2 linked regions of the Saccharomyces cerevisiae S288C genome follow. The protein of the gene in region 2 interacts with the protein of the main gene of each other region in a biochemical or structural test. Each region holds a gene or a part of one and is shown on either strand. Other genes may lie near its edges.

What was found.
Region 1: the proteins of RFU1 (region 2) and BRO1 form a complex in vitro, tested with the Saccharomyces cerevisiae proteins (2 studies listed by BioGRID).

What each region holds. Positions count from the first base shown.
Region 1 is NC_001148.4:392,028-397,219, forward strand, and holds BRO1 (Bro1p), read left to right. Parts: upstream 1-2,010; coding exon 2,011-4,545; downstream 4,546-5,192. Other genes in the region: COPII coat assembly protein SEC16, read left to right, coding at 1-1,627; tRNA splicing endonuclease subunit SEN54, read right to left, coding at 4,675-5,192. UniProt on the Saccharomyces cerevisiae protein: Class E VPS protein involved in concentration and sorting of cargo proteins of the multivesicular body (MVB) for incorporation into intralumenal vesicles. Fusion between endosomes and the vacuole will then target the cargo proteins to the vacuolar lumen.
Region 2 is NC_001144.5:280,246-283,596, forward strand, and holds RFU1 (Rfu1p), read right to left. Parts: upstream 1,377-3,351; coding exon 774-1,376; downstream 1-773. Other genes in the region: LAM6 (Lam6p), read left to right, coding at 1-698; BUD20 (Bud20p), read right to left, coding at 1,711-2,211; 60S ribosomal protein uL16 RPL10, read left to right, coding at 2,682-3,347. UniProt on the Saccharomyces cerevisiae protein: Inhibitor of the DOA4 deubiquitinase involved in the regulation of protein degradation by the proteasome and maintenance of a normal level of free ubiquitin.

The sequences.
Region 1 (5,192 bases), on a different chromosome or scaffold from region 2:
GCAAGTTCATGAGACGGGATACAATGATTTTGGTAACAAACATTCTCAAAAAAGTATGCCTGAAGATGAATCTCACACATCACATGATAATAGCAATGCTGATCAAAATACATTAAAAGACTCTGCAGATGTTACAGATGAAACAATGGATATTGAAGGACCTGGCTTCAACGATGTGAAGAATCTTCTTCCTATGGAGCCCAACCACCAGCCTACGTCTACAGTAAATCCTATACAAACTATTAGTGACGATATCCAACCGATTCTTCAAACTAACGTGGAGGTCCGGGGTACTGATGCATCGAAAATGGAAAATTCACTTCCCTCCATTGAAAATGAAAGAAGTAGCGAGGAGCAGCCAGAAAACATTTCAAAATCAGCATCATCAGCATATTTACCATCAACTGGTGGATTGTCACTCGAAAACAGACCGCTAACTCAGGATGAAAACAGTATCTCAGAGACAGTTCAATCCACATACTTGCCAGCAGGAAGTATTTCAATGGAAGCTAAACCAATTTCTCAAGTGCAAGATGTTCCAAGAAATGTTAATAATAAAGCATCCAAACTTGTGGAGCAACATATGGCACCACCAAAGCCAAAAAGTACTGACGCAACCAAAATGAACTACTCACCATACGTGCCTCAATCAACTGCCGCTAGTGCAGATGGCGATGAATCAACGATTCTGAAAACATCGCCTGCTATATATGCAAGAACTCACCAAGCACATGCATCCAATCCATCACAATACTTTCCTTTGGTCAACCAAGCAAATGAAACTGCTTCATTCGAATTATCTGAATCAACATCCCAGGCACAAAGTAATGGAAATGTTGCTTCAGAAAATAGATTCAGCCCAATAAAGAAAGCCGAAGTCGTCGAGAAAGACACTTTTCAACCTACTATTAGGAAGGCTTCAACTAACCAATACAGGGCTTTTAAACCGTTGGAATCAGATGCGGATAAATACAATGACGTTATTGAAGATGAATCCGATGACGACAATATGTCTACTGATGAGGCAAAGAACAGAAAGGAAGAAAAAAAGAATGTGAATATGAAAAAGGAAACAAAACCAAGTAACAAGGACATAGATGACAAGTCTAATGGTTGGTTTGGTTGGTTGAAGAAAGATACTGGCGACAAAAAAGTGTATAAGGCCAAGCTAGGTCATAAAAACACACTATACTATGATGAAAAATTGAAACGTTGGGTGAATAAGGACGCAACCGAAGAGGAAAAACAAAAAATTATTGAAAGTTCGGCACCACCACCTCCTCCAATCGTGAAACGTAAAGATGGCGGCCCAAAGACAAAGCCACGTTCAGGCCCCATCAATAATTCCCTACCTCCAGTACATGCCACATCAGTTATTCCGAACAATCCAATCACTGGTGAGCCTTTGCCGATCAAAACATCCCCTTCTCCTACAGGACCCAATCCAAACAATTCTCCATCACCATCCTCTCCCATATCAAGGATTTCTGGCGTAAACTTGACTAGCAAAAAGGCAAACGGTTTGGATGATTTATTGAGTTTGGCAGGAGGACCCAAACCAGCAAGTACGAGAAGGAAGAAGAAAACAGCGAGAGGCTATGTTAATGTAATGGATAACATACAATAATTATAGTAATACGTTTTTCTTTCATGGTACCCTTATGCCTTCCCTTTTCTTGATGTATATTATATACTTATAAAAACCGTAGTAAATTTTATTAAAACAATGATTACAGGAATCCGTATTTAGGTTATGCATCGTTGTCAGTAAGAAATCAGATGAATGCGATCTGAAACTTTGCTTATACTAATATTATTCTATCATACCTCATTTTCTTGCTTCGATTAATGCAGGACGCCGGTTCCGGGTTAGGATCACCGAGAAACAGAAAGCAAGCAAGGCTTCAGTTACAATTCGAAGAAGTACTAAGGGGGTTGTCGTGGAAAAATCTTGAATCAGAAAGCGGCTGACTGGAGCATTACTAGGTTCATTACTCACTGGTTCTACTCATGAAACCTTACTTATTTGACCTAAAGCTAAAAGACACAGAGAAGCTGGATTGGAAAAAAGGCCTCTCCTCATATCTCAAGAAATCATACGGCTCCTCACAATGGAGAACATTTTATGATGAGAAAGCTACTTCAGAACTGGATCACTTAAGGAATAATGCAAATGGAGAACTAGCACCTTCTTCATTGTCGGAACAAAATCTAAAATATTACTCATTTTTGGAGCATCTTTATTTTCGCCTGGGTAGCAAAGGATCAAGATTAAAAATGGATTTCACTTGGTATGACGCAGAATACTCATCGGCCCAGAAAGGATTGAAATACACGCAACATACGTTAGCATTTGAAAAGTCTTGTACTTTGTTCAACATTGCTGTAATCTTTACCCAAATTGCGAGGGAGAATATCAATGAGGACTACAAAAACTCAATCGCAAATTTGACAAAAGCTTTTTCCTGTTTTGAATATCTATCAGAAAATTTTTTGAACTCACCTTCAGTCGATCTTCAGTCAGAAAACACTAGGTTTCTGGCTAATATTTGCCATGCAGAAGCTCAAGAATTGTTTGTCTTGAAATTATTAAATGATCAAATATCATCCAAGCAATATACATTAATCAGTAAACTTTCTAGAGCCACGTGTAACCTCTTTCAGAAATGTCACGATTTTATGAAAGAAATAGATGACGATGTGGCCATTTATGGTGAACCCAAATGGAAAACGACAGTTACTTGCAAACTGCATTTCTACAAATCGTTAAGCGCTTATTATCACGGTTTACACCTTGAAGAAGAAAATAGAGTTGGCGAAGCAATTGCTTTTCTCGATTTTTCTATGCAACAATTGATTTCATCCCTTCCATTCAAAACGTGGTTAGTGGAATTTATAGACTTTGATGGGTTTAAAGAAACTTTAGAAAAGAAACAAAAGGAGTTGATTAAAGATAACGATTTTATATATCATGAAAGCGTTCCAGCCGTTGTGCAGGTTGATTCCATTAAGGCGCTCGATGCAATAAAATCTCCAACATGGGAGAAGATATTAGAACCATATATGCAAGATGTTGCAAATAAATGTGACTCTTTGTACAGAGGAATTATTCCCCTAGATGTCTATGAAAAGGAAAGTATTTACTCAGAAGAAAAAGCGACGCTGTTGAGAAAGCAAGTTGAAGAAACTGAGACAGCAAATTTGGAATATTCTTCCTTCATCGAATTTACAAATCTACCCAGGCTCTTGAGTGATTTGGAAAAACAATTTAGTGACGGAAATATTTTCTCGAATACGGATACACAGGGACAATTGATGAGGGACCAAATTCAGACATGGTGTAAATTTATCCAAACAAATGAATTTAGGGATATAGAAGAACAGATGAACAAAATTGTTTTCAAAAGGAAACAAATTTTAGAAATCCTTTCTGCCTTACCCAATGATCAAAAAGAAAATGTTACAAAACTAAAATCTTCTTTAGTAGCTGCTTCAAACTCAGACGAAAAATTGTTCGCATGCGTAAAACCACATATTGTCGAGATCAATCTATTGAATGACAATGGAAAAATATGGAAGAAGTTTGACGAATTTAATCGCAATACGCCTCCACAACCTAGCCTATTGGATATCGATGATACCAAAAACGACAAGATATTAGAGTTGTTAAAACAAGTAAAGGGCCATGCGGAAGACTTAAGAACATTGAAAGAGGAACGTTCGAGAAATTTGTCTGAACTAAGAGACGAAATCAACAACGATGATATCACAAAATTATTAATTATTAATAAGGGGAAATCCGATGTTGAGCTCAAAGATTTATTCGAGGTGGAACTGGAGAAATTCGAGCCTTTGAGCACAAGAATAGAGGCGACAATTTACAAACAATCTTCAATGATAGATGACATCAAAGCCAAGCTAGATGAAATTTTTCACCTTTCAAATTTCAAGGATAAATCTTCTGGGGAAGAAAAATTTTTAGAAGATCGTAAGAATTTTTTTGATAAGCTGCAAGAAGCAGTGAAATCATTCAGTATTTTTGCATCCGACTTGCCAAAAGGAATAGAGTTCTATGATTCATTATTCAATATGAGTAGAGACTTAGCAGAAAGAGTGAGAGTTGCAAAGCAGACCGAGGATTCAACAGCTAATTCTCCCGCTCCTCCCCTCCCTCCACTTGATTCTAAAGCGTCTGTCGTTGGGGGTCCTCCATTACTGCCCCAAAAAAGTGCAGCCTTTCAGTCATTATCTAGACAAGGGCTCAATTTAGGGGACCAATTTCAAAATCTCAAAATAAGTGCCGGCAGTGATTTACCTCAAGGACCCGGTATTCCACCAAGAACTTATGAAGCTTCGCCATATGCTGCAACGCCTACTATGGCAGCCCCACCAGTACCACCGAAACAATCGCAAGAGGATATGTACGACTTGAGAAGACGTAAAGCAGTTGAAAACGAAGAACGTGAACTGCAAGAGAATCCTACGTCCTTTTACAATAGACCCTCTGTTTTTGATGAAAATATGTACTCCAAATACAGCAGTTAGGTGCATTTCTTATTTCTTAATTTTATTGTAGCTTTTTTTTTTCAACTAATATGATAATTATATATATACCGGATTTGTTGAAAGCCAGTTTTGCAAGGATAAAGAAACTGCGATTTAGCAAAAGTCCCTTTAATGCTTCTTCCATCTTTGATCTACTTTCTTTTGAGTATTAGGTGTATACCATACACTTTCAGATCCAAAATCAGCCTCGGACATTTTTACAAACGAAATAAGGCCATTATCCATAATAGCGATAATAAAGCTCCGATATCCCGTCTTCAATCTACGATTTTGCTGTATGTGAGGTGGGTACGCCTTTCTCTTCTTTTTCGTGCTAGACTGTGCAGTTTTTTTTTGAAAACTTGCTTTCATAGACGACTCACTTTTTTCAGTTTGAGATTTCGCGCTCCTCTTATGAATATATTCCTTTCGTGGGATATCTTCAACGTAGGAGTTTGTCTCCCAATCGTCATCATCCTCGATTTCGCTTAAAAATTCGAATTTATAATCAAGTGAGGAAAACATAGATCGCAGCTCTTTATAGGTAGGAAAATGCTGAAGATCGTCATTTTTATTGTAAACGAAAACTTGGAAATCAGGAAGACCGGGGTCTCTTTTCTTGAAATTAGAATGGGGTTTCCATACTT
Region 2 (3,351 bases):
AATTCCAATACACCAAACAGCTGCATTTCCCTGTGGGGCCCAAATCCACAAACTGTGAGGTAGCGGAAATTCTTTTACACTGCGACTGGGAAAGGTACATAAATGTTTTAAGTATAACAAGAACACCAAATGTTCCTAGTGGTACCAGTTTCAGCACCAGAACGAGGTACATGTTCCGATGGGATGACCAGGGGCAAGGTTGCATATTAAAAATAAGTTTTTGGGTGGACTGGAACGCATCCAGTTGGATCAAGCCAATGGTAGAGAGCAATTGTAAAAATGGACAAATTAGCGCCACTAAGGACTTGGTAAAGTTAGTCGAAGAATTTGTAGAGAAATACGTGGAATTGAGCAAAGAAAAAGCAGATACACTCAAGCCGTTGCCCAGTGTTACATCTTTTGGATCACCTAGGAAAGTGGCAGCACCGGAGCTGACGATGGTACAGCCGGAGTCGAAACCAGAAGCTGAGGCGGAAATCTCAGAAATAGGCAGCGACAGATGGAGGTTTAACTGGGTGAACATAATAATCTTGGTGCTCTTGGTGTTAAATCTGCTGTATTTAATGAAGTTGAACAAGAAGATGGATAAGCTGACGAACCTCATGACCCACAAGGACGAAGTTGTAGCGCACGCGACTCTATTGGACATACCAGCCAAAGTACAATGGTCAAGACCAAGAAGGGGAGACGTGTTGTAACAGAGTAATCATGTAATATTGTATGTAAGGTTATGTATGTTCGTATGGTATGGAAAAAAAAAAAAAAAAAGGATGCTATGTGGAGAATGTAAGGCGTGGTAGCTCCGGATAATTCAGTCTGTAGGCTTCATCACGGGCAGTGGCCTGACTCTGAGAGCTTGCTCCGGTATTAAGTTGTGCGTTTGAAATTTTCTGGAAAAAAGAAATTGATTGGTTGAAGCTATACTCGTCGAAAGATTTCTTCGGCAGTGGTTGTTGCTCCACCTGCACGGGAGTTGTGTTTGCGTTTATGTTCGGCTTGGCTATATTATTAGCGAGTGATGTTTGCAATTTGCTGTATTGAGAATCAATTTGGGTGCGTAAGCTTTCAATAATTTTGCAGACCGCAGGCACTTCCAACTTTATGAGTTGCAGGTATTCTCTTTTATGAATATACGATGACGACGATGACGACGACGCATCCATGCGCAAAAGCTCAGGGTGTCTAGATAGTTTGTTAGTCAATAAATCCACATATCTAAAATAATAAATAAACGACAGCGACAAGTCGTTGGCCTGGAACGCACACTGTGCCTTTTCCAATATGCCGATGCATGTTTTCAGGTAAATTCTCAATGGTATCGCCGGATTGAAGCGATAATCCTTAGCGTCCTGAACCAATTGCTTACTAGACTTCATGACCTACCGGGGCCAGATAAAGATGCGGAAGGAAGAGAAAAAATGTATAGTGGTTGGTGAACCGCAACAATAATTCGTGCCAACACTTTAATCGAAGCAAAAATTGTCTTGTATGTTATTAATATTATCTATCTAACCATTGATTTACGTATAAAACTGTCGATGCTCATCGCCTAGCAATGAAAAAATTTTTTCTTTTTTTTTTCATTATTTCTCTTTGTTGCGTACTTTTTTTCATTGCGTTTCGCGGCAAAAGCGATTCGAGTTGACTGGAAGTGTGTTATACTATAAAAAGTGTATATGCCTATTTTTGGTTCTGATCTTTACTTTACTGTTAAGTACTGGCTGAGGCAGTAGACTCTGCCTCTGTTACGGCAGCGGTATTCGCCTCGGCATCAGCAGCCGCCCACGGTAGAGTAGGTTCTGTTGTTTTGACGTTTGCCAAGGTACTGTCCAAATGCTCCTTCAGCAAGGCCTCATTACTTTCCTTCTCCGGACCCACCGATTGCGTGATCTCCTGTACACGGTTCAAGAACTTGTTCAAATTGTAGCCCGCAGCAGCATCAGAGACTTCTTGTGTGTAAGGGACACCCCTCAACTCCTTGACTCTTCTTTTGTGCACTTTGCCCTTTAAATGCGTTTTTAACGCTATAGCAGTCTCCATGTATTTGGCACAGTGTATGCAATAGTGCTGACCAAGGCCCGGTTTGGTTTCATCCAATGGCTGGTTCAGAAGCTTCTGTACTGATTCCTTGGTGGACAAATCGTTATAGATCAGGTCCAAGTCTCGTGTTCTTCTTTTAGTCTTGTATCTCTTCACCGAATATCTACCCATGATGCGCTATTGTTTTATCTTCACTTGTCTGTGTGTTTAACTGCCTTTCAATTCACCTCATCTCATCTCCCGCTACTTTCCATATATAAAAGCAAAATTAATTTGCTTTTTCCCCTGTCAGTATAAAAAAATTTTCCGCAGGATATAGAAAAAAAAGAAATGAAATTATAGTAGCGGTTATTTCCGTGGGGTGCTTTTTTACACCTGTACATCTTTTCCCTCCGTACATTTTTTTTATTTTTTTTTTTGGTTTTTTTTTTTCGATATTTTTCCCTCCGAAACTAGTTAGCACAATAATGCTGACTAAGGAAACTTTTCATCTCAGAATTGATGGTCAGTTTGGTTTCTCTAGAGAATAGTTTATAAAAAGATGTTGATGTGGAGCAACCATTTATACATCCTTTCCGCAAGTGCTTTTGGAGTGGGACTTTCAAACTTTAAAGTACAGTATATCAAATAACTAATTCAAGATGGCTAGAAGACCAGCTAGATGTTACAGATACCAAAAGAACAAGCCTTACCCAAAGTCTAGATACAACAGAGCTGTTCCAGACTCCAAGATCAGAATCTACGATTTGGGTAAGAAGAAGGCTACCGTCGATGAATTCCCATTGTGTGTCCATTTGGTTTCCAACGAATTGGAACAATTGTCTTCTGAAGCTTTGGAAGCTGCTCGTATCTGTGCCAACAAGTACATGACTACTGTCTCCGGTAGAGATGCTTTCCACTTAAGAGTCAGAGTCCATCCTTTCCATGTCTTGAGAATCAACAAGATGTTGTCTTGTGCCGGTGCGGATAGATTGCAACAAGGTATGAGAGGTGCTTGGGGTAAGCCACACGGTTTGGCCGCTCGTGTCGACATTGGTCAAATTATCTTCTCTGTCAGAACCAAGGACAGCAACAAGGATGTTGTCGTTGAAGGTTTGAGAAGAGCCAGATACAAGTTCCCAGGTCAACAAAAGATTATTTTGTCTAAGAAGTGGGGTTTCACCAACTTGGACAGACCAGAATACTTGAAGAAGAGAGAAGCTGGTGAAGTCAAGGACGACGGTGCTTTCGTTAAGTTCTTGTCCAAGAAGGGTTCTTTGGAAAACAACATCAGAGAATTCCCAGAATACTTTGCTGCTCAAGCTTAAGTTC